2 linked regions of the Drosophila melanogaster genome follow. The protein of the gene in region 1 purifies or fractionates together with the protein of each later gene. This does not show direct contact. Each region holds a gene or a part of one and is shown in the gene's direction. Other genes may lie near its edges.

Region 1 (16,599 bases):
TATTAACCGCATCTATAGCAGTCACCAAGCTTAGTCCACCTGACGCCACTAATGAGACGGCCACGGCAATTAGCATTGATAATGTGGAAGAAAAGGCAGAAGAGGTGGAGGACAAGCACGAAGAGGAGGTCGTAGCCACCACCACAATCGCCACGGAGCTGAACGAAAATGAGAAGCGTTGGCTCGACGATTTCCTATCGGTGGGTGCGTATGACTTCGAGAAGAGTCAGGAGAAGGGGCAGCAACAGGAGGAGGCCGGCCGGGAGCAGAAGGATCCCGAGGTGGAGGCTACTACCATACCGACAGCATTATCATGAATATTCTCATTATCATCCCAGACACACACACACACACTCACACACACAGCCAGCCCCATCGTTCAGAGTCTCTGTCTTTCTCATATAAATACTCAGCCCACTCATTATACATACTCACCCTAATGCGAACAATAAAAAAGGAAAATGTTATTTAATTGAATTTATTTAAGCCTGCCTTTTCACCTGATGACGATGGCGATGTGATGATGATGGTTGGGTTCGTCGGCATGGCAGAACACTTATTTCACCTTAATAATCAAATGAGTTTCCGCTCTCAAATTACGGCCGCAATCTGTTTAACCCGCCGTATCTTAGCCGTATTCGTGGCACCTGTGCAGGGGCCATCTGCACCTGTCTATATGTCTTGGCTGTGAACTGGGGTTGGGTTGGCCCCAAGTGCCGGTATGTATGAGAGGTTAAGTGGGTGGAGGCTCAGGATTCCCCTCCCGCTCGCCGTGTAGTGCCCGCGGTGTCGACAGAAGCTGAAATACACAGAGTGGTGCGAGGCAAGTGTTCTCATTATCCTTGTGCTCTACTTTTTACAGCAGTTGGCTCTGTGGTGCCACGCACAGTGGGTCTGGGCGATTTGTCTCCGGCGGTCGGTGGCCACTTTCCACCCGACTTCGCGTCGAGAGCATAAGGGGTTAAGTAATCAATGACACAATCTGCAATTTTAATGGTGGCGACGCTGCTCTAGAGCGTGGGTTTTCCAAGTGTGAGCCGTTTGATCGCAATCCATTGATTGGAAATTTTGTGAGCAGGAGTATCTACATTGTACCATATTGAATTTAAACTGAAGGGGCATTTGGTCTTTACCGGATTTAGGAATTAAATAGCCACTGCGGGGAGTGTAACTTTTGACTTCCAATTAATAAATCCATTATTTAATTACTTTGTTTAAATCCAGCTGCCGAAGAGGGAAATAAATTACATTTGAACGCGATAATTCGCTTCAATCTTCGTTGGACATGTTCAACAATCGGAAATTCCTTTGCCAACATTATTTCCAACCCATATAAGTGCCTAATGAGCTCCTGGAAAAGTCATCGCGGAATAAATTAATTAAGTGCTTTGAAAACGAGAACCATTCAGTTCAGTTGCATTGCTGATTTACGGCAACTGTCAGAAAGTATAGCGCCGCGTTCAGCACTTCACTGTCTATACATCCGAATGGATTTCACGGACCATTGCACACTGCTCCCACCCACAGGAGCCACATACTCCATGCCCAGGGTTCTCCTCTGTTGCCCCAGGGTCGTGGAAACATCATTTACGATATAATTCTTATTGAAATACACATTTGAATTAACAGTTCCCCCCGTCTCGATGGAATGAGATGGGATAGGATGCGATGGGATGGGCTAAAATGGGTTGGATAGTAGGCCAGGCCAGTTGAACTGAGATGAGGCTGGAAAAGGGAGTGCTTAGCAGGCAGCTTAATGAATTCATGTTCGGACACAGTATGCACACATCTATAGGGATGACCACGGACTCCCAGTTCCAGCGACGGCCTCTTTTTGTGTTCCTGTATTTTTAATTATACACACGTCGTAGCCATTACATTCCATTCGGTATTGTTGTCGCTACATAGGTGACCTCCTGCACTTCAAAAGTATTTGCACTGCATTTCGGCTTGAAAGTTTCTAAAGCCGCACATTGGAATTTTTGAATAAATAAGTATATATGGATAACTCCCTCCAAGGGCAAACAGTAGTATAGAAGATATAATTCGTTCTTTTCCTCCTCAACTTACATGTTTTCCTAGCCCTTGTAGGCCATAAAATGTTTCGAGTGTGGTTCCACCTGCAATCCTTATTCGCATTCGCCATGCCAGTTGCCCGGGTGTGACAGCAGGAGCAGACATTTGGCTCCTGGCTGTGGGTGTGGATTTGGCAGAGACTGGGGCTCCGGATCCTCAGAAACCAACTCCCATCAACGGCATCAACATATTACTCGTACCATCATCGATGCCAGGCGGCAAACGAATATCCAGCCGAAATGTTTGGTTTAATTGGTTTTGTGTTCAGCATTGAATGGTTTATGGGCCGCTTGTGTCTGTCGATGTTATTGTTGGCGTATCCCACATTCTGGGGGATGGGAGATGCCTTTGGACCGCCATGTTCCTTGCCGCAAACTCTTCCAGCCACGTGTACTAGAACGATGTGTCGTTTTGTCAGATTCGGTAATGTAAATTCAGACATATCCTTGTTTTACCTACATTCGCATATAACTTATGTTCCCTCCACTCCTACCCACCACTGCTCGTGGTGTCGGAGGTCTGATGTGGTGACAGCTGTGTGTCTGTTTGTAATGGATAAGTGTTTCCCTGTTCCGTAATTAGCACAAGATTAGCGAACTCACAGACAGCAAACAAAGGGCTGATTTGGCTTGTCTTTTGGCGTGATGCGTGGAATGTATGGGTGGGATATATTGTATAGGATTAATGGAATCTTCACTTGTCTGTTTCCCATTCAAGCCTAAAGAAATAATGAAGGTATATAAAAGGAGGTAAGGACTACCTGCAAAACATTTCGAAAATAAAGGTCAAAGTAGGGCCTGGAGTCGAGCTAAGTTGTCAATGTCGTTTGCGTCCCAGTCCAAATTCAGTTTACATTACTCGGTTACCTCAGTCCGAAGCCACTAGACATATATTTTTTAATATTTTGTAAGGTGCGTAAATACTTAACATTTTTTTTTAAAGTTTATTGATCGATAAACACGGTTTGTGCAGAGATTCCTTCCATTATGGAACGATTCGCACTGACAACCTGCATTCGCCGTGTCTGGATCATGTCCGGATGGCTGCGCCAGGAGGCGGCAATAGCAGCCGGCATGTTGGTGGTGCAGCGACACCAGGTTGAGCTGAGGAATGAGGAGGAGGAGGGGCTCAAAGTCGGACAGCAGACTGCATCCAGTGGCGGTGACGTGGGCGTGGACTCGCAAGGAAGACTCCGCCGCGTGCGGCTGCTAGACGACTACATTGTGCCCTTTGAATGCGGTCTTTGATTCTCGATCCCCATCTCCTGTTCACCGATATGGTTCTGGGCCACAGCGCAGTTAGTTCATTTCGCATTCGAAGCAGTTGGCATTCAAGTAGTTCGATTCGTGAAACCGCTTCTCCAAATTTTGGTCAGACGGAATCTTCATTGTATGCGCTCTACGTGGACGGAGAACGAAAACAAATATTTTAATCGAAGATATAGCCCCAAAAAGCATGTTATTGTAAAATTTTATATTTTCACGAGTAGTTCGCGTTAATCTCGACGTTTTAGCGACATTAAAATTAAACAATCAATGGTGAACACTTTTTATGGTTTACTGAGCTTATAAATCGAGATTGGAATATTTCCGAGATTCCATAAAAAGTTGGAACTAGCCTGGAATTAAATGGCATCCGTTTGAAAGGCTTTTAAATACCCATTACTCATGAAGTGGAAGTGGAATCTTGATGGAAATGTGCAAAAAATAAAGAAAATTCGAGAGGAAAAGTTCATTTATTGCAATTGCTGTGTGTCATGTGCTGCATCTGCGTCAGTAGAATGCGTAAACTACATTTTCTAGCATTTCTTGTTTATATGAACAGACGGATGATTGGACCATGGCCATGCAGTTACTGTTTATGTAATTAAGCTAGATTACTATGTTATCAACATTGTCCCAGATTTTTATGCATGTATACATTTTTTGCAGGTCCATCGCAGCAGACGCAGCGCGAACGATATCTTGGGTAGGCATAAGCCTTACGATGAAGAGGCGGCGAAGGCGCAGCTGCAAAAATCTCTGGACAAACTGACCGCGGGAGAGGGTCCCCATTACAAGTAAGCTTGTATCCATTAATTCAAGTGACTAAACCAATAATGTAAGAGCAAAGGGTATGCTAGATTTAGCGTAACAGAGTTACAATCTGAGTTGATCTGGTCATAACCATAAAAGCTAGAAAGTTAAGACTAAACATGCAGAATGTAGAGAAGTAAGGTTCAGAAACTATTCAAAAATGTAACGTACACACTTTTGAAGAACTTGTAGGATTTTCTTCATTTTATTATATTAATAAGCATTAAGTAGATTTGTCTGATTCATTATAATTGACTCGCTCGTTTGCTGTGCTCTAGAATTGTGAAAGTATACTCAGCCTCGCGGCAAGTGGATTCAGGCATCTTGACCCGCATCGATGCGGATCTAATCGACGGGTCGGAGGAGCAGCACCGCTGTATCGTGGATATCTGGACAAAGGTCTGGGTGAGGAAGGATGAGCACGAAATCACCTTTAAGTGCCGCAACCAGCCGGTGGTCCAGGCCCGACACACGCGATCCGTGGAGTGGGCCGAGAAGAAGACGCACAAGAAGCACAGCCATCGCTTTGACAAGGTGGACCACCTCTTCTACAAGTTCCAGGTGCGATTTGGCCGTCGCTACGTAAGCACCGCCGAGCGCCAGATGCGCCTGCGCATTTTCCGTCAGAACCTGAAGACTATCGAGGAGCTAAACGCCAACGAGATGGGCAGCGCCAAGTACGGCATCACGGAGTTTGCTGATATGACCAGCTCGGAATACAAGGAACGCACGGGACTCTGGCAGCGTGATGAGGCAAAGGCCACTGGCGGATCGGCGGCTGTCGTACCGGCTTACCATGGTGAACTGCCGAAGGAGTTTGACTGGAGGCAGAAGGATGCTGTCACCCAGGTGAAGAATCAGGGATCCTGCGGTTCATGCTGGGCCTTCAGTGTGACCGGCAACATCGAAGGCCTGTACGCAGTGAAAACGGGCGAATTGAAAGAGTTCTCCGAACAGGAGCTGCTGGACTGTGATACCACGGATAGTGCCTGCAACGGCGGCCTCATGGACAATGCTTACAAGTAAGTTACGAGGGAATGAACATTACGATGTAGATACTTATGTAATAATTCCTCCGCAGGGCCATTAAGGATATTGGCGGCCTAGAGTACGAGGCTGAGTACCCATACAAGGCCAAAAAGAATCAGTGCCACTTCAACAGGACTTTGTCCCACGTTCAGGTTGCCGGCTTCGTGGATCTGCCGAAGGGAAATGAGACCGCCATGCAGGAGTGGCTTCTCGCCAATGGTCCCATTTCGATCGGTAAGTCGATGCAGAAAATTAACCCCAAAGCCCACTTAACCAGATCATTTCTCTAGGCATCAATGCGAATGCTATGCAGTTCTATCGCGGCGGAGTTTCCCATCCGTGGAAGGCCCTGTGCTCCAAGAAAAACCTCGACCACGGTGTTCTAGTTGTGGGGTATGGCGTCTCCGACTATCCCAATTTCCACAAGACCTTGCCCTACTGGATTGTGAAGAACTCGTGGGGTCCGCGCTGGGGAGAGCAGGGCTATTATCGCGTTTATCGTGGTGACAACACTTGCGGCGTCAGCGAAATGGCCACTTCGGCTGTGCTGGCCTAGACTTGCTTTGAGTCCAATTATATACAAGCATACGACTATATCTAGGTTAATAATTTAGCCAGTAACTTTGTGTACAATTAATTCTGTTTCCATGTTCTTCAACCGTCACGATAAGGAGTCGTTGAGTTTCAAAGCTTCGCCTATATAGTATAATCATTTCAGACATCTGTAATCTCACGAAAAAGTCTGCATCCACATATTCCGCTTTAATTGAAAATAACAATAAATTGTACAAGAATTAAAACCTGGTTGGGTTTATTATTGAATCCATGACAGCTCTGGCCGCAGCAACAGTTGGTCAAGATTGATGGTTGGTTGGATCAAGAAAAATGTTGAATTTATGTGAGATGTATTCAAATTATTCGATTAAAATGGTTTGATTAAATATGGGTGCCAGAGTATTATTGGCTGTTAAGAAATATTTATAACTGCTTCAATTACTGGAACATTTGACCCAGTGATTTTGATGATTGATTTTCAAACACTTTGTCAGTGTGTAGAAGTGCAATATGTTAATTAGATTTAGACCAGGGCCGTCGCACCGTGGGAAGCCATAGAAAATGAGTGTTTCTGGTGCAGAACCAGCCAGCTCAGTAGCAGCTTGAAGCGCATCGCGGGCGGTAGCGGAGCAATGGCCATGGACGACTACGATGATGACAGTAAGTGAACACAGACAAAAGGATGCAGATACAAAATTGCGTAAAAATCATTACCCAGTGAGCAGCGTGGGCGTGACCACGGCCCGAATCGAGAACCAGCACCAACAGCACCCCCACCAGCAGGGTCAGCATGGACACCACCAACAGGGCCAGGGTCAAAGCCAGTACAGCGCAGGGGCGGTCAAAGTGGGCGGATGGCGATACGAGGACGCCAGTCGCTACATCGGCGAGTGGAACCAGCGTGGCCAAAAGCACGGCATCGGGCATCTGCAGTTCGCCGATGGCACCCGCTACGATGGGCAGTTCCAGGAGGGTCTTAGTCAAGGAGTGGGCTGCCTCTGGTTCGCGGATGGAGCAAAGTCAGTTTCAATAATATTAGTGATGTAAACCTAAACGAAATATTGTAGCACTTGAAAACTATTCTTGTAGCCACTACTCGGGGAGTAAGAGGAAATGCTAGTATATATATTCTTGATCAGAAATGGTTTAGCTATAATTTACCTAGGGTTTGCATCCAGTGAAGAAAATTGTATATGATGATTCATTTTGCACATTTTTAAGACAGATACGAAGGCGAGTTTCATCAGGGCTGGTTTCATGGTAATGGGATCTTCTGGAGAGCCGATGGAATGAAGTACGAGGGCGAGTTTCGAGGCGGCAAGATCTGGGGCCTGGGATTGCTGACGTTCCAGGACTTCACGCACGGCTTTCCCAGAAACGAGGGATTCTTTCAAGACTGCCGCTTTATGAGACGACGTCGATGTCCCGAGGTGGTGCAGCGTGCACAAAAGTGCGCTCTTATGGCCCGTTCCCAGTGCGAACACCCATACTGAACAGACACTTCAGATTGGTTACCAGTTGGTATTGATAAACACGTACAGTTTAAAAATACAAATTTTAGTAACCGACTGTAAGAGTCTCAAGTCATAAAACAGAAAAAGGTGCCTTTAAGAAAAGAAATAAGCATTTCTTTCTTAACATCTTAAACTTTAATACATTTGCGCATAAACGTTCGTAAATGTATCTAAGTAATATAAAATGCATACAATTTCGCGTTTACTTTATAATTTTGCTTTTTCCAAATTCTTTATCAAAAATTCTTCAACGCACCCTAATAAAAACAACAAGAAAATTATGAAGAATTTGTGCGTGTGCTTATTGGATTATAATATTAACAAGAACGGAGTTGTTTCTCTGCTAATTCGGACTAGGCGCACCGACCAGGTACCACGCATTCCTGGCCTTCACCGCTGTGTTCCGCACCAGACGCTTGGGATCATCCAAGGCGGCGGCCAGGGCCAGAGTAACATCGACTTTGTGGGGCAACAGGACGAAGGTAGGATACTTTGTCACATCGTAGAGCAGCTGCAGCGCCGCAATTCGCACTTGCTATAAGAAAGAAAATGAGTTTAAGTTTTGTGTTCGACATTTTCCTTTACAAGTTAAGAAACCTCCTCAATTAACTATCAAATCTTTATAATAATATGTGCATGTTTAACTTACCATGGTATGCTGAGCCTTGTATTTCGACAGCTCCAGACAGCTGGGTATGAGGTGGGCCAAATGCCCTTGGAAATACGTGTCCTGCTGCGCCACAAACTTTTCACAGATGCCCAATGCAATGCACAGCGACTGCGCCTCGTTGTGCTCCTCCAAGCTCTTGAAAAGCAGCGGACCGAGCTGCTCAATGTTTAGCTTAATAACCGCCTGTGGCGTGGCTTTCAGTACGTAGACAAAAGCCTTCAAGTGGTGCACACAGTAGTTGGCAAGTTTGCTGCCCATTTTTCCCATGATAGTGTGGAAAAGCTTCTGCTTGTAGAGGAATTTAACGACAGGCAAATCCAATTCTGGGTACTCGGCGGCAATGATGTCGAATCCCAAGGCAGCGGCAGTGCTCAAACTGGGATGTTTTAGTAGATCCGAGAGCTTTAATGAGACAATATTATTTCACGAATAAGAACTAGAGAACTAAAATGGCTATACTAGTACATACATCACCAACAACATCGGCAGCCTCATCGAATCCTGCGACTACTAGGCCCTTCCCCACCCATGCAAGGATCTCCACCGCCCGAACATCGCCCTTTTTAATAGCCACCTTCAGTTGCTCCGTGATTTTTTTGACCTTCCTTAGATTAGCTGGGTTCGACTCCATCTTGTTGACCATGCTACAGAGCAGGTGGTGAGCGATTACACGCAACTGTTCGTTGTCCGAATTAAGCGAAAGCTGCGTCAAATCGGTCAGAAGCCGCTCGAAGTGGTCATCCAGGGTTATGTCTTTATGAAGGTAGCCCAGCAGGCCCTTGGTAATGTACAAATCAGCCGATTGACTCAGATTGAGTCCAGGAAGATACTCGCTTACTATAGCGCTTTGTTCGGAGAGCGGGAGCTGTTGCGTGATACGACTTAAAGCGCCCGCAATCTGTTCTAGCGACTGCATAGACAGACCCTCGGTCTTCTGGCCCAGTTCGATGAGCTTGTGAAGAAGATTGGACTCCTGCTGCACGTCCACGATAAAGCGCTGATCCGCTAGCAGGAGCAGTTTGTTTAATGCTTCCAGAGCCAATAAACGGACGGGCTCTGCAGTAGTATCGTTAAACGTCTGTGTCATAACCAAATCTAGAATGCGTTGAGTGAACGCTATTTGAGGCATGAGCGGCAATAAATTTGTGTATATCTTTCGTTTGACAAATGTGGAGAAAATCTCGAAATTTCGCACGCAAACATCAATGAAATTTGACTGCACCTCCACCGGTTGCAGGGCTCCAAGGCTAACCGTCAGTGTGGTGAAATCGATGTCGATGGACGGATGGCTGACAAGCTGAACCAGAGCTTTGTAAATTAAAGCGCGTTGTTTCTCGTTGAGAAGAGGAGCACTTTCGTTAAGCACCGAAAGGGCCGCCTTCTGCAACTCCAAGTCCTCCTTCTTGGCATCGAACTCTTCCTGTTCAATTAGGCGTAGGGAGGCGATTACATCGTCCTGCACAGACTCGCGTATCGTGGTGTCCAATTTCTGGAGAGAGCCACGCAACGCAGATAGCTTATAGACTTGGCTAACTATGTAATAGATCTTGATCCGCTGCTCAGAACTAGCATCTGCGGCCTGCAGCTTGAGCAAAAAGCTGTTGAGGATTTTGTCCGCTGCATAGGGCGCATCTCCCGATACACAAACTAAGGCGATCCCGGTGGCAGGATGGAAGAGCCGCTGATTGACATCGCTGAGATGCGGTAGAATTACGCCCAGAATAGAGCTCTGGTAGCTGTGGCTTATATCCGGTATGTGAGCAGCTCTCTCCAGGAGCGCAGACAACGCCTTAAGGGAAGCTTTCAGTATCTCCTCATTGTCATTTCCTGGAAAAGTCTCTGTTTTCAGAGCCTGCCATATCTGATCGAAGTGCGGCTCCAGAACGGAAGGCGGGAACTTCACGGCAGCTTGGTGCTGTAACAATAAATAGCATGTATAAAAAGAGGCATTTCAAAATGTTACGTTTTCTTGCCAGCAGTTCTATGGAGTCCAGTTTGGCAACCAGCAACTCACTCTCCAGCTTTTCTATGGCCAGTACCACTGTGCCCTCAGCGAATTCGTTGTTGGCTACCAGGCAGTTAGTCAACTTCTTGGACAATTCATCACGGGTTATGGCCGCTGGATCCTGCTTGCTGGGATTAAAGTCGATTGGAAAGTAACACGCAAAGATCTCAAACATCTCTTCGGCCAAATGCAGCAGCGGATACGTTGACAAGAACTCGGGCATGAAGCTGAAAATGATGTCAAGGTTGCGGGGGTCACGCTCGCCGTCAATGGAATTGATCAGGCCGTAGACGAAGTCACCGGCCATCGCTTGCAGCTCTGTATCGGGAAGAAAATTGATTTGTTTGAGTTGTAATATTGTGTAATATTTTCTAAAAATAACGGAAATAAAAGGTACTAAGATTGTCGCAAATATCTGTTCGACTAGTTAAAATCATCTAATTATAACTTTTTTGCACACTGACTTGTTTAAATCGGATTAAAGCAATGTCAATGTATCTTTCATGCTAAAATGAAATCAGGGCTCACCGTCCTGGAAGTTTTCCGTCAAGTACTGGAAAATGTGGAACAGCTTGGTGCGGTCGCTCCGCGTCTGCGACTGGCAGGTGGTGTGCTCGAAGAATGACTGCAGAATCTGGGGAATCTGGGCGCGCGGTAGAGCTTTCATGTGAACCAGGGCGTCGATTCCATCGATAATGGCTGGCATTACGTTGTGATGGTCGCGCAGGCGGTCCATGTAAAAGGTGCTGAGGAACTCCAGCTGCCGCTCTTGCAGCAGATCCTGGGGCAGTGCTATCAACACGGCGGAGAGCAAGTTGGTTCCGGCCACACGCTCCTCCATGTCCGGAGAGGACAGGGCGAAGCCCAGTGCCTCGGCCAGAGCAGATATGTCATATGCCTTGGCGGTCAGATCTGGAGGAAACAAAGAATCTCTATGAGAAGGGCACATTCGACACGGATGCGGGTGTAAACCTGCCCTTGGCTATCTGTGTGGCGGAATTCACAAGCTTCTGGTCGCTTTTCAGAGCCTTTTCCAGGGTGGCGCGCGTGGGCGTTGTCATTGCGGCACCGTCGCTTGAGTGGTGTCTAAATTTAAATGAGTTTAAGCACGTTAAGCCGAAATGTTAAGAACCGATAACCGATGACTTGTCGTACTGGCCTTATCTATATCACAGCGATGCCAGACTGGTGTTACAGTAGTGCAAATGTTTTAGCGATTAATATAGCTTTTATTGCAGTGGCGCTCAGGGATGGTAATGTGTGGCTCGGAGACAAATTCTAGAACTGGAAAATATACTTACATATTGTATATTGATTTATAATCGATAGACACGATACGGAGATTTTCTTTTTATTTTCTTGTAATTCGTTGTAAATTTAGAAATATATTTTTAGCAGCTCTGGAAACAATCGATAGTCGCCGACTGTTGCACACAGGGAACGCAACAGGGTGGTCAAGTGTCCGCGCCGATGTATCGATAAGCCCCGCATCACCAGAGCACGCACATCACTAGTATTACAAACACAGGCAGGCAGCAGTTTATTTTAGCTACCGCAGCACCTTAAACTCTGAATTAAATAGTTTACGCATTCATTTTGCGCTCGGAACGCCGCGTAACAAAGCTAGTACACTAATGTCCATAACCGTAAGTCGCCCGCGAACTGCTCAGCTGCAATTGTAGGTGTGCGGCGGCGAGACGTCAGCGCTGCTGTTGTTGTTGCTCTTGTGGTTGCTGCAGCTGCAGACGCCCCCACATAGCTGGAAATAAAATAAGAAGCATAAGAATAAGAAATACGGTGAAGTGTCGAATGCAAAGTGCAGTTTGCTGTGTCCAGAGGCTTGCAATTAACTCAAATTCTATTTAGATCGCATTAATTCGACCCATTGTGCGCCCGTGTGCGTGTGTGCGAAAGTGTGTGTTGTGTGCCGCTGAAACCTGAGCTGAGTGTGCGTGTGTGTGTGCGAGCGTTAATTTTGTTGTTTTTACTATTGTGTTTTTTGTTTTTTTTTTTTTTTTTGCATACGACGATTTGAGTCGAGTTGAAAGAATCATTCAAAGCCAACAAGGTCGAACGCCTTATTCGGCTCATAACTACCTAATACATTTTCCAATCGGCATTTGGCCCACGTCCCGCCTTGGAGGCGGAATTGAAAATCGGAGCGCGTTGCGTTTAAATTTGGTGACAAGTCGGCGGCTGTGCGCCTGATAATTTATAATTAGCAGCTCACTTGGGTCGTTGCCACTGGCATCTTCTATTATTCGCAATTGTCGCCGGGTTTTCCACTTTATTCGCTTCTGGCTGGGAGGCGCACTTTCCATTTTTACCTGCAAGGCGAGCCAGCGAATGACGAAGTCGCTTCCGTTCTATTGTTCCCCTTCCCACCCAGCAACACTTGGAGAAACTCACGCACTCGAGCGCTTTAATTGGAACTAATCTCTGTCTCTCGTTTTTGGCTACAATGACGACAACCTGTTCCGATCGCCAGTTACTGCGAGGTGGCAAGCAAAAGACAACCACTTGCGTAGGAATGACCGTAATGGCCAAGACTACGTTTGAAGAAATATGCGAGAATGCCAAATTAGCACGGGACATGGCTCTGACGGGCAACTACGACTCAGCCTGCATCTACTATGAGGGCCTCCAGGGGCTGCTCGCCCGCCAGCTGAAGGCCACCGCGGATCCGCTACGCAAGGGCAAGTGGAGCATGGTAAGACATTCCTATCACCACCTCCAGATACTGTCAACTACCATGCCAATGAATGCGAATGGTGACGGTTATGACAAACAAAGGACTTAGTCATAACATCTTGTCAACGCCATTCAAAATTGCCCAAGAGGTTTTGTGTAAACGAGTTATCTAGATCGTTAACGTGCATATAAAGATTTAATTTAATCAGAACACTACCGAATGACTAAAATTTGAATTACAAAGTAATTTCTAGCACTACTGGCACAAAGTAACTGGCTAAAACTCCAATAGATCATAATAAACCAAGTATTTTCAAAAAGTTTAATATTTACCATACCGGACGATTTCATTGACATCATTTAACTAACTGATCTTCGATTTGCAGATCAACCAGCAGATTAGCCAGGAGCACGCCAAAATCAAGGCCATTCAGAGAACCCTACAAGACATCTCGCTGGACCTACAGTCAACCAAATTTGCACACAAGCTGCGACACCAGCTCAGCGAAGAAAGCACCACCAGTAAAGATCCATCTGCCTGGTTCAAGCCGGACCCCGACATTTGGACGCCTCCGCCCAAGGATCCAGATGTGTGGGGTCCGCCGAAGCCACCACCCACCACTCAGGCCGTTGGCCGAAGAGCCGCACCGAACAACCGCCGCACCACTCCGGCAACGCAAAACAGCCGCCCCAGCAGCACAATCCCGCAGAGCACTGCCCGGAATGGTCCGGCCTCGACACGCAATTCCCGCAACTCAACGTCCGCCACAGCACCGAGCGGCGGAGCACGCACCACCAATGGAAGGGCTGGCGGTCGCAAGCTATCCACATCGAACACCAACGAGGCTAGGGACGACGACTCCACCGCTGCAGGCAACAATGGCGGAGCGGCTGGCGATGGAGAAAACGGCGATCCGCAGGCCGCCCAAGAGGAAGAGCGCAAGTTTCAGCCCAACAACCACATCGAAGCCGAGCTAGTCGACATTCTTGGTAGGTGCCTAAATCGTTGCCGCAAGGTTTGCCTCGTTCAAAATTTGGTGATGTGCTAGTCTTATTTATTAAGCAAAGCTAATGCATTACTCTACTTGCTTTAAGATTTGTGGCTATTTCAAAAATGGTAGTAGTTATGAAAATTTGGGTCTAGTATAGCTACATTTATTACATGCCAACGCTCTCTTTTCAGAACGTGATATTCTTCAAAAGGATCCCAAAGTGCGCTGGAGCGACATTGCCGACCTGCACGACGCCAAGCGGTTGCTGGAGGAGGCCGTCGTGCTGCCAATGCTCATGCCGGACTACTTCAAGGTGCGTCACCCCCGCTGTTTGTTTTCTGTGAATCACATTCTGCCAAACGCTTATCTCGCGATGGGTCAACAAACGCGCTTTATTATAGTGCTCAGGGCAATGTGTATTTGATCAACTATTCTGAACTGTCACGAAATGCATCGCCTTGCAGCTTTATCCCTCTTAACTAGGTGGTGGAACTTGTCAACACATTCTACTTTTACTTGGGGCGGTTTAAAAGTTTCCATTGTTGAAATTATGCTGATTATGATGTACCTCTATCTATGTTATCTTATCAAACTATGTGTGCGTTCAAAAGAATATCGATCCATAATAACCTGTCGAAAAAAAATAAATAATTATGTATATATTATGTATATATATGGAATGCTGACCATGTGTTTCTAACGCCTTTAAGTCACATTAAAAATCACTGATCCAAACACCTGAGACTGAGCTCGATTGCTATGTTGACCGTGTTGTACCATATATGTAAGAATATTTGTTGTTTTCAAATATTTCCGTCCAACAAATATTTTCCCCATCTAAAATGTGGATACCATGAAATTTTGCGTGGGCGAAAGATGTTTGAAATGGGCATCAGAGAAGCCTACAGCACCATTTTTCGATTTACCATCTTACTGAATAAACAATAGCAAGAAAGATAGACTTAACGTGGATAGTAGATAATTAGATATTTATGTTTGATTGGAAGAAATGGTACTCACTTCTCCAATGTAGATTATTTAATTAATTAGAATTAGGCAAATGACACAGCCTAAAACAGTGGTTCAGATCAAAACAATCGGAAAGTATACAATTAATATATACTGAAAGTTTGTAAACATTTTAAAGCAAAAGTACATAATCACTTCTTGCTTTCTACAACAGGGTATCCGGCGACCGTGGAAGGGCGTGTTAATGGTGGGACCTCCAGGCACGGGCAAGACAATGCTCGCCAAGGCGGTGGCAACCGAATGCGGAACTACGTTCTTCAACGTGAGCTCGGCCACGCTGACGTCCAAGTACCGAGGTGAGTCGGAAAAGATGGTGCGGCTCCTGTTCGAGATGGCCAGGTTCTACGCGCCCAGCACAATTTTCATCGACGAGATCGACTCCCTGTGCTCGCGCCGAGGATCGGAATCAGAGCACGAGGCCTCGCGACGAGTGAAGTCTGAGCTGCTGGTCCAAATGGACGGCGTGGGCGGCGGAGAGGAACAGGCCAAGGTGGTCATGGTGCTGGCCGCCACCAACTTTCCTTGGGACATCGATGAAGCGCTTCGGCGTCGTTTGGAAAAACGCATTTACATCCCACTGCCATCGGATGAAGGTCGCGAGGCGCTGCTCAAGATCAATCTCCGCGAGGTCAAGGTGGACGATAGCGTCGATCTTACCTACGTAGCCAACGAGCTGAAGGGATATTCCGGAGCTGACATCACAAACGTGTGCAGGTGAGTTCAGAATACACTAATTTAAAATGGCGTAGTCAGTTCCAAATCATGTCAATGGAATAAAATGCGTGCTCTTCTTTTTCCAGGGAGGCCAGCATGATGTCGATGCGGAGAAAGATCGCAGGACTGACCCCAGAGCAGATTCGGCAGTTGGCTACGGAAGAGGTGGATTTGCCCGTTTCCAACAAGGATTTCAACGAGGCCATGAGTCGCTGCAACAAGAGCGTGTCCCGGGCAGACCTGGACAAGTACGAGAAGTGGATGAGGGAGTTCGGATCGTCATGATGGCGCTGCAGACGCGAATGGCTAGCGATTGTAGGAGTATATTTTTGAATAGCCTTAAACACGCGCTTAAGTCATTAAGCTTTTAAAGTGAGAACCGAACCGATCCGAGCCGAACGGAAGAGTTGAACATATTTTATATATAACATTTTGCAAATACGATACAATCTATATATTTACATATATACATTGAACCGGAGGCCGTTGGAATTAGAAAAGACTAACCGCTCTCAAAGAGGAAACACAAATGGAAAACTGAAATTGAAATTGAATTGCAATGAAGTCGAGAGATAGGCAATACGTTTATGTATACATAGCGAAAACCACCCACACACTCCATGAGCACAAACCTTCCAACAAATCGTTAACCCACAATCACACTATATGCAATAAGGAATCGCTTTAATCGCCGCCTAGCCTTGGCCTCATACTCCCACAATATGCACACTCCAATCCGTATCATTTTTTATCGAAAGTTTTTATTTTAACAAGAAATGTCCACTGTCTAATATTAATGTTAATTTTCGCTTAATTTATACTTTCACATATACATATATATCATAGTTTAGTGCAGGCAGAGATGTGTGTACCAGAAAGTTCCCTCTGATTTGCAATTAACCCACTGTAATCAGAAGATGAAACTGAAGCAATATGTACTTAAAGAGAGGATTCTGAAATTTTAAACAATAAAGAAGTTTTTAACTTTACGGCATTAAGAGTTGTGACTTTTTTGGGTGCTTTCTGCAAGGATAAATAAGGATAAAGGTCTTGCAAATGATGCTGATGATGTTATGATTTGATTATTATTACAATTAAATCACTGTTACGAAAATGCTGTGATCCCCAAAGAGAATTTATATCTAGATACTAAGCGGATGTTGCATTTGTATGACACAGCGGTAATTAATCTTTTCTAGAAATCAAGAGTCAGGGAAAAGCACTTTATTATGAAATCCAAGAACGTTTA
Region 2 (16,599 bases), on another chromosome or scaffold:
CGACTTGGAATATATAGCTGCCGAACTATCGGTGCAACAATCGGATCGCTCAACCGGTCGCTCCATCTGCAGGGAATACCAAAACGCCTCAGTTAAGTGGCGCGCGAATGAAGGTACTTGCGCTTAGCCACCAGCTGGGCACACTGCACGAGCCTGCATAGAGTTTTTTACGAAATTATCACAATTTAGGAGTTTTCCAATTAGAATTGGAATAAGTTCGTACTCTTAACTTGCTAACAAGTTGATTTTTAATGCAAAACTTTTCGCAGACAACTTTTCGACAAGAACAGTGCTGCCAGACTGTCAGACCGGCACCTTACTGGCGTGTTTTTATCACATTTTCTAATATTTCCAAGCTATTGAAATATTCCAAAGCTTTCTATCTGCACATTCTTTTTATATAGGTGTTCCCAGAAAATCGCCTTAGCATGGAGAGTCGTGCTAATACGGCGTTGCCAGACTGTCATTGCATTTCTTGTTGCTCTTTGCAAGAGCCCGCCAAATGAAATTTTTATTTGAATACAATTTATTTTTTTCTTCCCCCGTTCTTTTGCTTGTATAATATCCCAACTGGAAAATGTGTACTTTTCAATTACGAAACATGTACAATATATAGCAATAAAGTCCAGTAAAATCGTGGTATGTTTACAATTACTTTTTTGGGCCTGATGATACGTTGCCATTAAAGTGCAATGTCATACCACTAATGTAAGTTTTTTAACCCTTTATACCCCCCAATAGCTTGCCCATAATCCTCCCGTGAACAATCTTGAATCCCAAATGCAAGAACAAAGTTCGAATATTCAACAGGAGCTCCGCCTAATGTATGATGACGCATGTATTTTATACAGATCAAATATTTTCATACCGTTTTACAGGGTTCCGAAGAATAGAAAGTGGTAATTAAAAAAAGTATGCATTCGGTTCACCGAATTCAATTTGAATCGTTTTCCAAGTCAAATCAGGTTGGCTACAATGAGCAGACAGAATGTGGGCGGCGACACCAGATAGTGTCGCCGAATGCATGGAAAGCGATTCAATGCAACGGCCTTCCATCGAAGAAGTGTCCCAGCTGCTGGGTGTTACTTTTTCTGTTTCTTCTTCTCGAGCTCCTCCTCCTTCTCCTTCTCGATGATCTTAACATAATCGGTAATGACATCGGTGTCCAGCATTTTCAGTGGCTTGCCGTTCTCCATGATGGCCACCTCCAGATTGTTCTGGCCTGACTGCGCCACCTCGAGCAGCGCACGGATGGCCAGTTTGACGGCTCCGTGCTCGTTGGCCACCTCCTCCTCGCGGTAGGACTTCTCGAAGAACTCGCGCACAACCTTTGCCGATCGCCCGGTGGCGTTAGCCTTATACTCGTAGAAAATGCCCGACGGCTCAGTCTGGAACAGATGCGCAGAGCCATCGGCATCGAAGCCGCCAATAAGGCAGGAAATACCGAAGGGACGGCGGCCATTGCTCTGCGTGTATTTTTGTTTCAGCTGGGCAATGAATCTAAAATGAAAGGCCAAAACCATATAGAAGCTAATTTAGAGCGCAACTATTTCACAAATCCTCACCTGGTTATGTACTCGAGGGTCACGGGATCCTCGACATTGAGACGATGGCTCTGGCACTCCACCTGGGCACGATTGATCATGATGCGAGCGTCGGCCGTGAGACCGGCAAAAGCCATTACAACGTGGTTGTCGAGCATGCAAATCTTGCGCACCTTTCGATCCTCCTGCAGTTGGGCCACCGACTTCTTCTCCACGCCAAGCACAACGCAGTTGGCGCCGCGAACTCCGACCTGCGAGGCGAAAAATTGGAAAAGTCCATGTTTGTTTCGGTTTGGCGGCACTGCGAACGGTACTAAATTGCACTTACCGCAGTCGATCCCTTGCGAACGGCCTCCTGGGCATACTCCACCTGCAGGAGGTGACCGTCGGGAGAGAATATGGTTACAGCACGATCGTAGCGTGAGGACATCTTGTTGCTTTATTCAATAGCTGAGGTACTTGCAGAATATTAACTTATAGCTTTTTCCTTCTCGAATTCGCCAGGCAATGATGATGCTTTTTTGAGGAAATGCCGCAGTGTGACCGCAGCATGGGTTCGATGAAAATTACTAAATTAATACCGTTTCGCAGTGAACGATATATCGTTGCTGAAATCATGTATCAGAATCAATTCAATTCTTGTTACTTCAGTCTATTTAATATTCTATTCCATTTAGTCTATTTAAATATTTAATTTAATACTTTTGTAAACCGTTTTACAGCTTCAGGGCTGTAAATAATTTAGTAAAATATCAATTAATTTTTTTTCACATTATCTGTTATTATTGTTATTTAATAATACAAATTTATAATACAAATTATTTTCAATATATATATATATATATGTATTAATAATTATAACCAACGACTGTTACTTAAATGTACAAAATGCAATCGCTATGCCGGCCCTGGTAATCGGTGTTCATCGACAGCTTGCTGCAGCCCTCGTCGTCGCTGTAATTACAATGTGATGTGCATTTGTTTTTGTTAATAAGAATTGTCCGATTAAACATTTAGATTATCTGTTTTTAAACAATGCGATCACGGTGATATCGGTTCGTAAAGGTTTTACACACCGTGTGATTTTGTTTCAGTGCGTTTTGTTGTTCGTTTCGTAAATAAGTGGGCTTCATTTTGCCCAAAAAAGACGGGAGCCCAGACAGCTGATCACAGACTTTGGCTCACACCTGCTACAAAAAGATAATATTTATTCGAAAACCTGGCATTCGGATCGAATTTAGCAGCTGCCAGCGTATTTATATAAGAACAATTTGATTGATTATGGCGCTGCCCAGAAAACTGATATCCAAGATCTGTAAGTAAACCGAATGTTCGAAAGTACCGTTGTATATTCCCACACACACACAAGCACGTAGAAATACGACTGCATGTATATATGTGTGTGTGCGTGCGTGTTTGAAATCCTATCGTAAATTCTAGTGTTGCATGCAACTTCAGTAACTTTTAAAACAATACCACGCGTTCTTATAAACAATGCAGATATCCAATAGGAAAATCCCCAGGTGCACATATGTATGTATGTAGATACATATGAACATTGAGTGCAGCTGCAGCTGAATTGTTCGTTTTAAAGTAATTAATATCTTGTTTTACAACGCAATATCAATATCAAATAAACATCATACGGCTTCTTCAGACTTTAAAATAATATTTGTATATAGCCTTTAGAAAACTTCAATTCAATCCCAAGAACTATAGAAGTTCAAAAAGGTTTTAATCTGGGAACAAGTTTTCAATTTCTTTGAAATGCGTACATTTACGTACATATGTATGTACATATATACTGTACATATGTATGTATGTACATCGATTTCCTAGCTTTATTTTATCTGTTTTGCTTTTCAAAATACTAGTAATCCTTGTCATTCATAAATGTGGATAACGTAAAAGGTACTTATTTATTTATATCGACACAGTTTCCTTTGAAAAGATTCAAAAATCATTATAAAATTGTATTTATTGAGTATATACTAATACGAAAATATCATATTTTTATTATTATATATTTGTTGTAAGTTTTCCTTTTGATCTTGAAAAGCTGTTGTTTAAAGCATAGCTTAATCTGAACATACTAACTATATCATCATATCATGAAAACTTGCCGAAGAGGACTAACCAATTCTCATCCTTTGCAGACGATATAAAGGCACATGATAGCAGGGTCACGAGCCTTGATCTTGGCGAAACTGGACGAGTGCTGGTCACCGGAGGAGAGGATCGCAATGTGAACCTCTGGGCGATTGGTCAAAATGAGTGCTTTATGGTGAATATACTAACTACTTCCTAAATATATGTATGTACTAATCGGTGACCCTTTCCTTTCAGTCTCTGACGGGCCACAATCGTTCCATCGATTGCGTGCGTTTTGCTTATAAGGATAACTTTGTCTACTCCGCCGACGACATCGGTATAATCCGAAGATGGGATCTGAATTCACAGAAAATCTACTCCACGCTAAATGGCCACATGAAGAGTGTTCGCACTCTGGACTTTAACCCGTCTGGAGAATATGTGGTGTCCGGGAGCAATGATACCACCGTCAGGTGAGCCAAGGACCGATATATAAATAGTCAGAGTAACCCATGAGTCATTCGGAAGCTCTAGTTTCCTTATCAAGTGGCAGATTTAAAGTTTATTCGTTGATTGAAAAGGGATGGCGATATTCTCCCTCCCTCTTTTAGCTGTGCTTAATCCTATAGAATCGCGTATTTTGGGTTTAATAATCTACACAAAAGAAAAATCTCATATTTAGAAATTAGAAATTTTATATCGGTTTAATGCACATACATATTAGATGCATTGTATCTATATGGTCTTTTCTTAGATATCACTTGACCTATATATGTGTAAAACAAAGATAATATGACTCACTACATTGCACAAAAGGGGACAGGCTGACAAAGATAATATCACTTTGTGTTGTTTAGCTAAAGTTGATATTTCTTTTGGGATCTCATATATCTTATCTCTCAGATCTATTACATCCATGATCTTAAACAACATTGCATTTTCAGTTATGTGATGTTTTATTGGGAGTTTTATAAAAGTGTTACAAAAAAATACTTCTACCACCACGGGCGTTTAAACAATTGCATATGTATAGGCATATTTGTTATAGTGTATGTACAAAAAAAAACGGACGCGAAACGAATTATAAAGTCAATGATAATCCATTGCGACTAAGGCAGACTATGTGTCTCTAGGTGATCCGCGCTTACAGCTTGGCCTGTGAGCTCTTCAGGTCGACATAGGCGCCGGATATGACCTCCTTGCCGGTCTCCACGACCACGGTGCGGAAGTTGATGCGTGTGCCCTGCTTCCACAAGTCCACGCGCAAAGTCTGGCCCGGAATTACGGGTCCGGAGAAGCGCACTTTGACAGCCTTGAACAGAGCCGGGTTGTTGTCCGCAAACTGAGCGAGCACGGCGCGCACCGAGAAGCCCAGTGTGCAGAGTCCATGGAGGATGGGTGTCTTGAAGCCGGCCAGCAGGGCCATCTGGGGATCGATATGCAGGGGGTTCTTGTCGCCGGACAGACGGTACAGCGCCGCCTGGTCCTCGCTGGTCGTATACTGGACGGTTGCGTCCGGTTGGCGATTGGGCGCCGGCTGCAGCGGAACTACACCAGCGATGGGATCCTTCTTGCCTCCGAATTTGCCAGCGCCGACAATGAAAGTGGTGCTCTGGTTGCGCACCAACAGGCGGCCACTTTCGTCGAACGACTCGCTATTGGTGACGACCACGGCGCCGGATCCCTTGTCCATAACATCGAAGACCTTGCCGTTGGTCAGCAAAGTGCCACTGGTGGGCAGATCGTCAACGATCTCTAGGTACTGTTCGCCGTGCAGAATGTTGCTGAAGTCCACTTGGCTGTTGGGCAAAGCCTTGCTGAGCAGCTTGTCGGTGGACATTTGCAGCAGAAGGCCGGGCAGAACGAAGAAAGTTGGAATGGCGGCGAAATCGGCATCGTTTTCGTACAGGAAGCGCATGTCCTTCGCGTTTTTGACGGATGCCCCAATGCCCAGGGCGTAGGTAATAAGCTCTTTGCTATTGAACTCGAAGGCATCCTCGATGGCGTCGCCGCCGCCTTCCTTGAGCTTCTCAAGCACTTCCAGCAGGGTGCCGGAGGCCTCTGCGATGGCACCCAAGTGCTTGGCCTTGGACATGTCGGTCACATTCGACCACACATCCTTGACGTACTCAATGGTCACGGGGTCGTCCAGCGAAGGACGCAGCACAGCGCCCTTGCCGCGAACCATGTGCAGCTTGGTGGCCCAGCCGGCGGCACTCTCGATATAGCTACCTGTGGATCGGAGAAGAGGGAGAGAGAAAACGTTTAATAAACCCTATATATACACACATGTACACATATTCCTGATAAACGGTCTAAGTTCAAACGCTATCAGTATGAATTTCCCTAATCAGGCAGATTATGTTGACCATTTGGATTGGACTACTGGACATATTAAAGATGACTTAGCAGTGGTTGGCCAAAAATTGCATAATTTTGTAGTTCTCAAAGGGTTAAATTGATACAAATTGATATGATAATCAATTCTGAGATAATGCAATTCTCGCATAACTTCGGATCCCACTTACCATTATCCTCGCAGGACTCGTGGCACAAGTAGGCCACTACGGGAGCAATCAGCTTGGGCTTCAGCTCGTTGAAGAGAATGTCGGGCAGAATGCCCTCGGTCATTCGACTGGCGGCAGTTGGCACGATGACGTTGCAAAGAACATTGTTGCGGGCTCCCTCGATGGCAACCGTGTTGGCCAATCCGATGAGGCCCATCTTGGCGGCAGTGTAGTTGACCTGCCCGAAATTACCATAGATGCCCGAGTTGGACGATGTCATGATGATGCGGCCATAGTTCTGCTTCTTCATGTACGGGAATGCCGCCTGGGTGCACTTAAAGCTGCCCTTCAGATGGACATCGTTGACCAGATTCCAGTCCTGTTCGCTGGTCTTCACCAGACTCCTGTCGCGTAGAATGCCGGCATTGTTGACCAGGATATCGACGCGTCCGAAAGCTTTGATGGCCGTCTCGATGACCTTTGCCCCATCGATTACCGAGTTGTAGTCGGCCACCGCCTCGCCGCCGGCCTTACGGATCTCATCCACCACAATGTCGGCGGCCCGCTGCGATGCTCCATCGCCGGAGTGGGTGCCACCCAGATCGTTGACCACCACCTTGGCGCCACGCTCCGCGAAGAGCAGTGCGTACTCGCGGCCCAAACCGGCACCAGCTCCCGTCACCACCGCCACACGGCCATCGTAACGAAGTTTTCCATCGGATGAGGACATGGTCTGTCTATTGGTCAATAGCAATCGCAATTTCTGGTTTCGCTGCACAAATCCGGTCTCTGCGGCAACGCTTTTTCGGCTGTAAAACACGAATGAACCGATGAAAATAAACTGGTTGGCTAATAATCGAACAAGAAAGGAGAGTAGCACTACTTTTCAATCGTACTTAATCTCAAGCGATAATGCTATCTGCCCTGCCCTCGCATATGTGAGTGTAACTCTGGACTCTTCGGCTGAAGAACGTTACCCAGGCGATATGGTCCAAGTCCAGGGGTTCACGGTTCATAGTCAAGTGCTTTTCGGATGGCACCGAAATCGCCGAAATCCGAGATACAAGATACATTTGCACAGTGACGACAGCACAGTTATTCGAACCGCGTGAAATGGCCCACACACACACACATTAAACAAGGGTTAACTTACAGTTCTCGTAGATTCGCCGTATGATGGTATGGTATGCCCGAATATGCACAGATTAACCCAGTATCAGTGGTACAAAGTGCATCACTATTCGCTGCCGAGATAATTTTGCAATCGTTTAATCGGTTCAACCCATGAAAATGCACTAAAATATACTGCCCGCATTCATACGTTTGTGAGCACTAGAAAGTAGTGCCGTCAAAATGCTGGAAAGCAGTGCATCGCGGACGTAAACCTCGGTTCGGAACTTCGCTAAGCCGTAGCAAAGACTCCAACCCGTTTTCATTTTCCAGACGATTAAATTTAAAAATGAACAATTATGGAAATTACACTTATCTTCCACATTTCAAATTCAACTATGTCTCTTTATTTAACATAGAAATGTATAAAACAACAATAAATTGAGCAACAATAAATGAATTAACTAGGAGATTACATATATTATTGAAACTTTATGAATTACATATGCTTTGTTGCTTATTTAGCAAACTATTAACTTTCATATGTCTGCAATCTCAGGCTTTGGGACGTGCAGAACGAAAACAACTGCATTAAGGTATGTCGCGGCCACATGTCCCACGTGAATTCCGTAAAATTCTCGCCGGATGGTCTTTGGATTGCCTCTGCTGGCCTGGAGGGTTCCATACTCATCTGGGACATACGGAAGAGCAAACAGATAATGGAGTTCATAGCCGATCCGCCGGTTACGGCTATCACATGCGTGCAATTCCATCCGTTTGAGTTCCTGCTGGCCGCCGGTCGCGTCGATGGCACCGTTTCCATTTACGATCTGGAACACCAGCAGCTCGTCTCGCAGACCACGCACTTCTATGGCCAGGCCATCAGGTGTATAACCTTTAGGTGAGTCCTGCAAAGAATAATCCGCAATCGTGAATTGATTTATGAAAAGAAATAGTAATATAGTAATTTTGCCAAAAAGTGCATAAATTCTAATTATCTGCATGTTAAACTTTATTTATTTCAGTGACAATGGCGAGTGCCTTTTTGTTGGCAGTTCTTCGGGCATTTCGGTAATTGGATGGGAACCGGATCGTGAGCTGGACCATATAAAAAGCACCTGGTCCTCCTTGGCGGACATGAAAGTGGTCAACAATAAGTTGGTAAGTGAAAGCACTTACTCATTAAGCGAAGCACCCTTCCAAATCTCGTCATCCCCGTTATCTTTTTTGACAAAAATAATCAGTATTTTGGTCAGAATATTCTAAAAAATGGTCCAAATATGGAGTGTCATACCTCGTTGAGTTTGTTTTTTTAATCCAAATCGATTTGCATTCAAATTTGGGAATTCTAGGTTTTTTAAATTTTTTGCAAATTTTGATGATAAAATTTTGATTATAAAAAAGGCGAAAAATTGGCCAAAAACTAATTTTACAAAATCCGTCCAAAAGTGAAAGGGGTGGTTAGTATTGGTAATTAGGAGCACAAAACGGTATTTCTTTTGGCGGTGTGGCCATTTTTAGTCAAGTTATACCCAGAAAACCAATCTTAAATATTGCATTTTATGCCAAAACTGGTTTCACTGATTTTATGCGAAAAAAATAATCGGTATTTTGAGCAAAACATTAAAAATAATGGCACAAATATGGAATGTCATAACTTGTTGAGTTTCCGAATCAATTCGCATTCAAATTTAGGAAATCTAGGTTTTTCACTTTTTGAAAAACCAATCTTAGATCTTAAATGTAAAATGTCTACAAATGGAATATCCAATAAAAACCATTGCACTTCCTTTTGTAGATCTGTGGTTGTCATGAGATCGACACCGTTTCAATCAACACCATCAGTCTGGATCGAGTGATACCATTCTATCAGCCGCCAAACTCACTACCCAACTTTAAGCACAACTCGACGAACCGAAAGAGCTTTACACGTGGCAACCAGAAGTTCAGGCTGTCAGTTGGCGGTGCCAAGCCGGCACAGGTGCAGGAGGAGCACGAGGGCGACAAGAGTGGATTGTCCTCGCCCAACTATAGTCTGGAGGTTGTGAACGAGGCGGTGCTGGAGTCGGCGGAGACTTCTCCAATGTCCTCGTTGCCACCTGTCCACTTGGCTTCGATGGCCGGATCGTCGGCGGACTTGGCGCCGCATCATGTCGTATATGGCGGAGCAATCGATTCTGCCCTAAGGCAGGGTAAGTACTCCAGAGTGCCTGATAATATGGCCAGCTATGGCAGTAGTTACGGGGCCATCGATACCCGCCTGATGTCCTTGAACGAACCCAGTTCACTGCACAAGCCGGACATTTACAATCTATATCCGCTGGACAAGAACGAGGAGGCGGATGTGCAGCAGTTGGAGTTCAATCTGAACGATAGCAATCCGCCAATACTCAACAACTATGATAACTACGAAATGGCCGAGGACTTTCCGGTCAATCAGAACCTGAACTACATTACCAATAACTATAAGCCAGTGCCCGCAACCTCCACGATCAACGCCTCGTCCAAGTCGATCAAGAAGACCACTACCACCACCCTGCACAAGAGGACAACGAACAACATGGCCGGCGCGAAGCAGACGTCCACGGGCATCTTTGGTGGCAGCAAGCTAAGCCAGGTCTCCTCGGTCAGCTCCATGGAACTGCACAAGCTGGACGACAACATGGTACTGAAAAAGTCCTCCTCCTCGAATGTCGTCAACAAGAACAAGCGGCCAATGGGCTCGGCCCAGAGTCAGTTCAGCAAGGAGAACAATCAACAGAAAAATATCAATGTGGAGATCATCACAAAGCCACCGATGCGATCCCGCACCACCCTGGATATGCGTACGTCGCACCAGGCTAAAACTCAGGAAAAGCAAATTCACGTGAGTGCTTAAAAACTTCGCTTGGTGCCCTTTATTTAATTAATTAATTAATTAATTAATTATTCCAGCAGCAGCAGCCAATGAACAATCGCATTATAATGGATGATCACGACTTCGATATGCTCTCGAGATCACACGAGGCTGTGCTGCAGGAGCTGAGCAATCGTCAGTCTAGCCTGGATTTGCTGCGGCACGCAACAAGGTAAGTATTGGTTAAACGGTCTATTTGAAACATTCGATCGATTGACACATCCATTGGTAATCATGTAGGTCTCACGATGTGCTGGGCGCATTAAGGCAGGCAAGGAGCTGTGGCAAATCCATTTTCATAGATCTACTCGGAGCCATACTGGAGAAACCGTAAGCATAATATTATAAATATTAAAGCGACAGCGATAACAATAGGAGTTTAATCCCATAACAGGTCCTCGTGGAACTTGGACTTCTGCATGTTTGTGCTGCCAGAGATTTACGAACTCTTGCAAAGCCAACACAAGTTGTAAGTATGGATAAACATAAACGAAAAGGTAGCCCAAGTAATCCCAATCTGTATTTTAGCCACTTTACGAGAGCCTGTGATACCCTGCGTATTATATTGTCGAACTTCTTGCCAACTATACAGGAGAACCTCGATTCCTGGGCCGCCAATGGCCTGGGCGTCGATGTGACACGCGAGGATCGACAGAGGAAGTGCGCCGAGTGCCAGCGGTGGTTGTTGCAAATCAAGAACCTGCCCGAGAGCACACACTTTGGGTCCACGCTGTCACAATTACAAAACATAATTATTTTCTAAGGGCAACGCATATCCAGCTGTAGATGCTCCTCGGCGTTCAAATCAGCTCTTGAACGGTACAAAGATCGTCAACAAAAGAAAACCACCAGCTTCCCAAAGCCTGATTACGAAATCCAGTGTCCTGGGGAGTGGCCTCATTTGTCGCTCTAAGCTGCCAAACTAAGGAATTTTAAACAATCGTTTCCGGAACAGCAGCTCTAAGACGAGCTCTTCCGAACGCTGTTTATCCAACATTAACATTAACCTTTCGGCCATCTATTCATCGTCATGTTGCGATGAAGTCAACTTGTGAACTAAGAAAGTTACGTATGATTTCTTTCGACACAAGCTAATTTCAGCAGACCATGATGATTGAAAAATGGGCCTTAGTTATTTAATGATTTGTAATATTAATTTGTTATGCAAACTAATTTATATAATAATTATTTACCTATACCTAAGTCCCAAAATTTGAAAATATATAAAAGAAAACATACGTGAATTCTATAAACTATTTGCGATCAAATATTCTTTTAGGTAAGTACACTTTTCAGAGTTTACGACTAATCTAAAAAAGTTCATGGCGATCTAAAGCAAATGTACATATATGTGTATGGTAAAGGTATGTTGGTGAAAGAAAGAAATGAATAAAATTAGATTGTTAAAAGGTAGCTGATTTATCTGTTTTTGTTAGATTGCAACTAAACTAATGGCTTTACATGCATTTAGCACACAGAGTAGTGCAATCAGAGAAGTTCTATATTGTTTATATTATTATGCTTATTTTTGTGCAAGCGGTGAAATCGGGGAATGTACTGCGAGTATTGCGGTTCACTGCTCCAATAGAATGACCAACAAAGCAGCCAGAACAAACGGCTTTGAAGTTCAACTTACCATGTCGCCGAATCATTGTAGCGTTTAATGCCCAACCTTTCAATAGAGTTTTGCAGCGATTAGTGGAGCACTTCGACCTGGCACTCCGAGCGCATCGGCTGTACTTCTGCACGATGTCCGAGAATAGAGTAATCCATATGTGGATGCGATGTCTGATGCCACTGCTGCTGGCCAACTGCATTGCGGCGAATCCCAGTTTCGAGGATCCTGACCGTAGTTTGGATATGGAGGCGAAGGACAGCAGCGTGGTGGATACTATGGGCATGGGCATGGGCGTCCTGGATCCTACGCAGCCAAAGCAGATGAATTACCAGAAGCCGCCATTGGGTTACAAGGACTACGATTACTATCTGGGATCTCGACGAATGGCAGATCCCTATGGGGCCGATAATGATCTGAGTGCCTCGTCCGCCATTAAGATTCATGGCGAAGGCAATTTGGCTTCGCTAAACAGGCCAGTCAGTGGTGTCGCCCACAAACCACTGCCCTGGTATGGCGATTATTCCGGCAAACTGCTGGCCAGTGCTCCCCCGATGTACCCGTCCAGGTCCTACGATCCCTATATTCGCCGCTACGACAGGTGAGTGTGTGTTCAAGTAAACCGAAACTATCGCAAGAAGATAGTTCATCTGGACAGTTTTTTCTCAGAATCTGATAATTAGTTTAACAAAAAAATGAATATTGGAAAAAAATGATTATGAAATTAATCTTAACTGAATATGAAATTCTGCTCTTCTCTATTATTGTCTTTACTATTATTAAACTATTAAATTTTTGCAGATATGATGAGCAGTACCATAGGAACTATCCACAGTACTTTGAGGACATGTACATGCACCGGCAACGTTTCGATCCGTATGATAGCTATAGTCCCCGGATACCGCAGTATCCGGAACCCTACGTTATGTATCCCGACCGCTACCCGGATGCCCCGCCTTTGAGGGATTATCCGAAATTGCGGCGCGGATACATCGGTGAACCCATGGCGCCCATCGATTCCTACAGCAGCAGCAAGTACGTCTCTTCGAAGCAGTCCGACCTGAGTTTTCCGGTTCGTAACGAACGCATCGTATACTACGCCCACCTGCCGGAAATCGTACGGACACCATATGATAGTGGATCACCGGAGGATCGAAACTCGGCGCCTTACAAGCTGAACAAGAAGAAAATCAAAAATATTCAGCGGCCTTTAGCGAATAATTCTACCACGTATAAAATGACATTGTAGAAGGGGATTTTAGAATGTAAGATCCATTTTTTTTTTTCATTATTCGTATGCATTTGTATTTGTCACCCATGGAAATTAGCACCAAGTTCAGTGTACCAGCACATTGATTAAAAATATCGAGGTGAGCTTATTAGCAATTTTGATGATTTTTCATAGATTTGCTTTTAAATTGTTTCACTCACTTCTCATAATTCATAAGGTTCTTTTTTTTTTGTTGATTTATAGGATCAATATAAGCGCATAAACTATACCATATTTGAATAATAAATTTTTTTGAAAGTATAATCGAACACAAAAGGAATTAAATTGACTGCTAATAGCGTATATTAATTCTAAATCCAATGAAATTATAAAAAAATAATACAATTATACTCTAAAAGTTGCCCCACTTAAATTGAATTAAGTTATTCTCCTCCACTCAAACGTGTAAAAAAAAAAAACTTTCAAAGCAAATAAAGCCCATTCACAACTTGCCAGGTTTGGTTTCTTTTGACCAAGTTTCATTTACGTATATGGATTTATTGAAGACCCGGCAAAATTACGTCCATCGGTTCGAGATCCCCAGAGTCTCGTTAATTACGCAACGCCATTACTTTGACTTTTGTTTCGAACTAGGGGGATGTGGATGTGGATATTAAAGTTTGCGATTTGTGTAATTTAACTTTTTCGCTGTCTCTGCAAGCAAACAAGAAGGATTCGTAATTATTTACAAACATGCATATGTACATATGTATATCTATACTCGCTTCGTATAAACGAGTATGCTCACATGGTGTACACATGGAAGAAGGTCAAAAGGTCCATTCATCCTGGAGCTTTATGTGTGTTTGGGTCTTGGTCTCGTTTTCCTTGTCGTTTTGACACAAGAGGAGCAAAAGAGCTATTATGGTGCCCAATACCAGCGACAACAAATACTTGTGTAATGCATGAACACGTACGGCTAATTAATGTCCTTTTTTTTGTTTTTTTTTTTGGAGCTAAGCTTGTCGGCGAAAATCGGCAGATGTAGTTGCCAATGGTGTAGGGCGATTTGTCAAGAGGTTTGATTACATCAATCGAAACTCATATTGGTCATGTCACAAATTAATTGAAGGGTAATAATTAAAACAAGCAATACAAGCTGACTAACCCATACTTTTTTGCCCAAACTCCGTTTAGGCCCATCTTTAAGCCAAGTAGTTTTATGAACATAATAATCTTCAAAGTATGTTTGCAAGTAAACTATCTTCGTAACCCAAAATAAATAAACTAACTCTATCTGAAGATACAGATACCAAATCAAAACTTAAATTGCAGTTTCTTGTGTTAGGCAGGGTATTCCCATGTCTACTACATGATTAAGAAAGCCACGCGGCTGTCTGTCCTGTGTTTGTCCATTTTACGAGCTGTGCTTCGCTGTCCTTTCCTCCTTCGGCATTTCCGTGTTATTACTCACAACTTGACACGGACATTTTCACAGGTCACAGCCACGCACACATGAACTCATGCACACACACACACACACACACACCCATGAATCCGGGAGCGCAGGACAATTGCCGTCCTTGTGGGACATTTTGCATGACGATGCGAAGCGAAGGACTTGCGCTGGAATTGGAAATGGAAGTGAGAGTGAGGGGTGGCCACCTAATGAGCGCACACCACCCATCGAATGAAATGTAACAGGCGAGGATGGATTCCCACAGCACAGGTCAACAAAATAGATCTCACTGGAGTACCATAAATGGAAAGCAACATTTCGATAGTATTATGTATAAAATGTAAAGCAAACCTTAAATTATATTAATTAACTAATCAATTTGATTGACATTTCTTTTAGAGCCCAAATCATATGCACCTAGCTTCTTGCCCGCTGCTGTTCGTGTAGCCACATATATCCAAAGAACAAGGCAATTCGGCTGCTTTGTGGATCTCGGGCTTGGCAAGAAAAACAATAACAATGATGCACGCGATACTTAACAAACTTTTGCGCCGGGCGGCTCCATAATTAGAATCATTGAAATAGCCATTCAACGTTCATTTGCTCTGACAGGGAAATCGGCCTTTTCTGGCCAAAAGCTGAGCGCTGGAGCTGGATGCTTTAGTTGAGGATGTGCCTTTACCTTTGGGGGAACACGGGCTAACTGGCTGCCTGGCTCCCTGGCTGGCTGGAGGACCTCGATGGCCAAATGGCACGACATATGCCCCATGATTTTTGTGGGCGTATTCGGAGGTGTTGTGGCAAATGAGAAAACAATGCCCGAATAACGACTCTCCGATGTGCATTAAAAGATTTATTTCCCTCCGAATAAATGAAGTTTTTCTTTATGGCCCCGGTCTCGACAGTACTTTCCACATGGCTGGCACTGCCGCAGCCACTTCCGCCAACAGGATGCTACTGATTTTGGACCGTCATGGGGAACCATCTTGACCACCTTATGGCATAGGCGTCGTACTTTGATGGGACATAAAGTACGCTTGGAGCCATTCATTCTCCACTCCTTGCGGACAACTGTTTCCACTGTAATCGCCGAATAGTTAAATTCGCTCTAGTTACTTATTGCGTAGAGAGTGGAGAGTAATGCCTGCCTTTCCGCATTCACATGTCAACAAATCACCGAAAATTTATTTGTCTACCCCGGCTAGACTTGCACGTAATTAGGCAACCAAGGTACAAACGACATAAAGAAACCTATAAAAATTCCACTTCCCTATTAGAGTGTCAACGCCGGAGTGCCCAAGTTGAATGTCCTTAATTGATGGAGTGGCGCCCAACGATGGATGGGGATGTGCTCCAGGAAGCTAATCATCGCTGGAGTAACTCGCAGTTTCATGTTCACGAAATCACTTTAAAGAACTCTTAGGAGATTTTTGATAAAAAGAAAGTTTGTCTTACTGGACTCGATTTAAGTTAGGGGGCTGGTTTTTATAAGGTTTTGTAAGCCAATTGGTATTTGCTAGCTTAATCTCAATTCTCTAGTTTTTGTAGGTCGGACATGACCAGATCGGCTCAGCTTATGATCCGAACATAAATTTATATATTTAATATATAAATTATACATCTTACATAATATTCAACGAATCTAGTACATATAACATTTTACTTTTCGTGTAACAGGTACAAAAATCTCAATAAGAAAACTATAGATGCCTCTATTTGTACAAATGCTTTATATTTCAGCTATAACTTAATTTAAGCTAAAACTTAGAAGGTTTTCAGCATTTTTTAATGTGGCTTGAAAATATATTTTCTTTTTTTTCTAACTTAAAGGTCTGGTATTTGATTCGCTACACTTGAAGTGCAATGACTAACGTGCCAAAAACCTTCTTACTGATTAAATCAAGTAAATGTGGACTGAGTTGAAATACGAGTGAAATTAAATATGTATTATTTCGCCGGAAGAGCGAAGTGGAATCGTATTATAACACCTATGATTGACCTTCTGCATTCTGGCCAGCTCATTAATAATACTGCTCATTTGATAAATACAATTCGGTGGGATAAACAGTTTGTTTGGCCCTTGCCTCTGTATCTTTGTATCTTTGTATCTTTCGGATACATTCACGATGAATAACTGCTCACTTATTCTTGTTTGTAATTACCAGTT

What was found.
Region 2: the proteins of Kat60 (region 1) and kat80 purify together in Drosophila melanogaster (affinity purification with western blotting; one study listed by BioGRID). This does not show direct contact.

What each region holds. Positions count from the first base shown.
Region 1 is NT_033777.3:5,227,028-5,243,626, reverse strand, and holds Kat60 (katanin 60), read left to right. Parts: upstream 1-11,417; 5' UTR 11,418-11,558; coding exon 11,559-11,570; intron 11,571-12,313; coding exon 12,314-12,634; intron 12,635-13,001; coding exon 13,002-13,605; intron 13,606-13,798; coding exon 13,799-13,920; intron 13,921-14,790; coding exon 14,791-15,350; intron 15,351-15,436; coding exon 15,437-15,635; 3' UTR 15,636-16,338; downstream 16,339-16,599. Other genes in the region: CG33293 (uncharacterized protein), read left to right, coding at 3,063-3,323; CtsF (cathepsin F), read left to right, coding at 4,008-4,135, 4,430-5,173, 5,233-5,414, 5,471-5,736; rtp (retinophilin), read left to right, coding at 6,368-6,395, 6,454-6,754, 6,961-7,228; Mms19, read right to left, coding at 7,593-7,784, 7,899-8,321, 8,389-9,834, 9,893-10,242, 10,453-10,836, 10,901-10,985.
Region 2 is NC_004354.4:16,261,793-16,278,391, reverse strand, and holds kat80 (katanin 80), read left to right. Parts: upstream 1-2,211; 5' UTR 2,212-2,276; intron 2,277-2,474; exon of another isoform or gene 2,475-2,638; 5' UTR 2,639-2,825; coding exon 2,826-2,859; intron 2,860-3,700; coding exon 3,701-3,828; intron 3,829-3,890; coding exon 3,891-4,108; intron 4,109-4,576; exon of another isoform or gene 4,577-4,779; coding exon of another isoform or gene 4,780-5,867; intron 5,868-6,163; coding exon of another isoform or gene 6,164-6,872; exon of another isoform or gene 6,873-6,988; intron 6,989-7,295; exon of another isoform or gene 7,296-7,441; intron 7,442-7,811; coding exon 7,812-8,153; intron 8,154-8,277; coding exon 8,278-8,413; intron 8,414-9,050; coding exon 9,051-10,118; intron 10,119-10,186; coding exon 10,187-10,320; intron 10,321-10,388; coding exon 10,389-10,478; intron 10,479-10,542; coding exon 10,543-10,617; intron 10,618-10,676; coding exon 10,677-10,911; 3' UTR 10,912-11,385; downstream 11,386-16,599. Other genes in the region: Prosalpha4 (proteasome alpha4 subunit), read right to left, coding at 1,083-1,500, 1,566-1,795, 1,873-1,974; Mfe2 (peroxisomal multifunctional enzyme type 2), read right to left, coding at 4,780-5,867, 6,164-6,872; CG12507 (uncharacterized protein), read left to right, coding at 11,898-12,364, 12,565-13,012.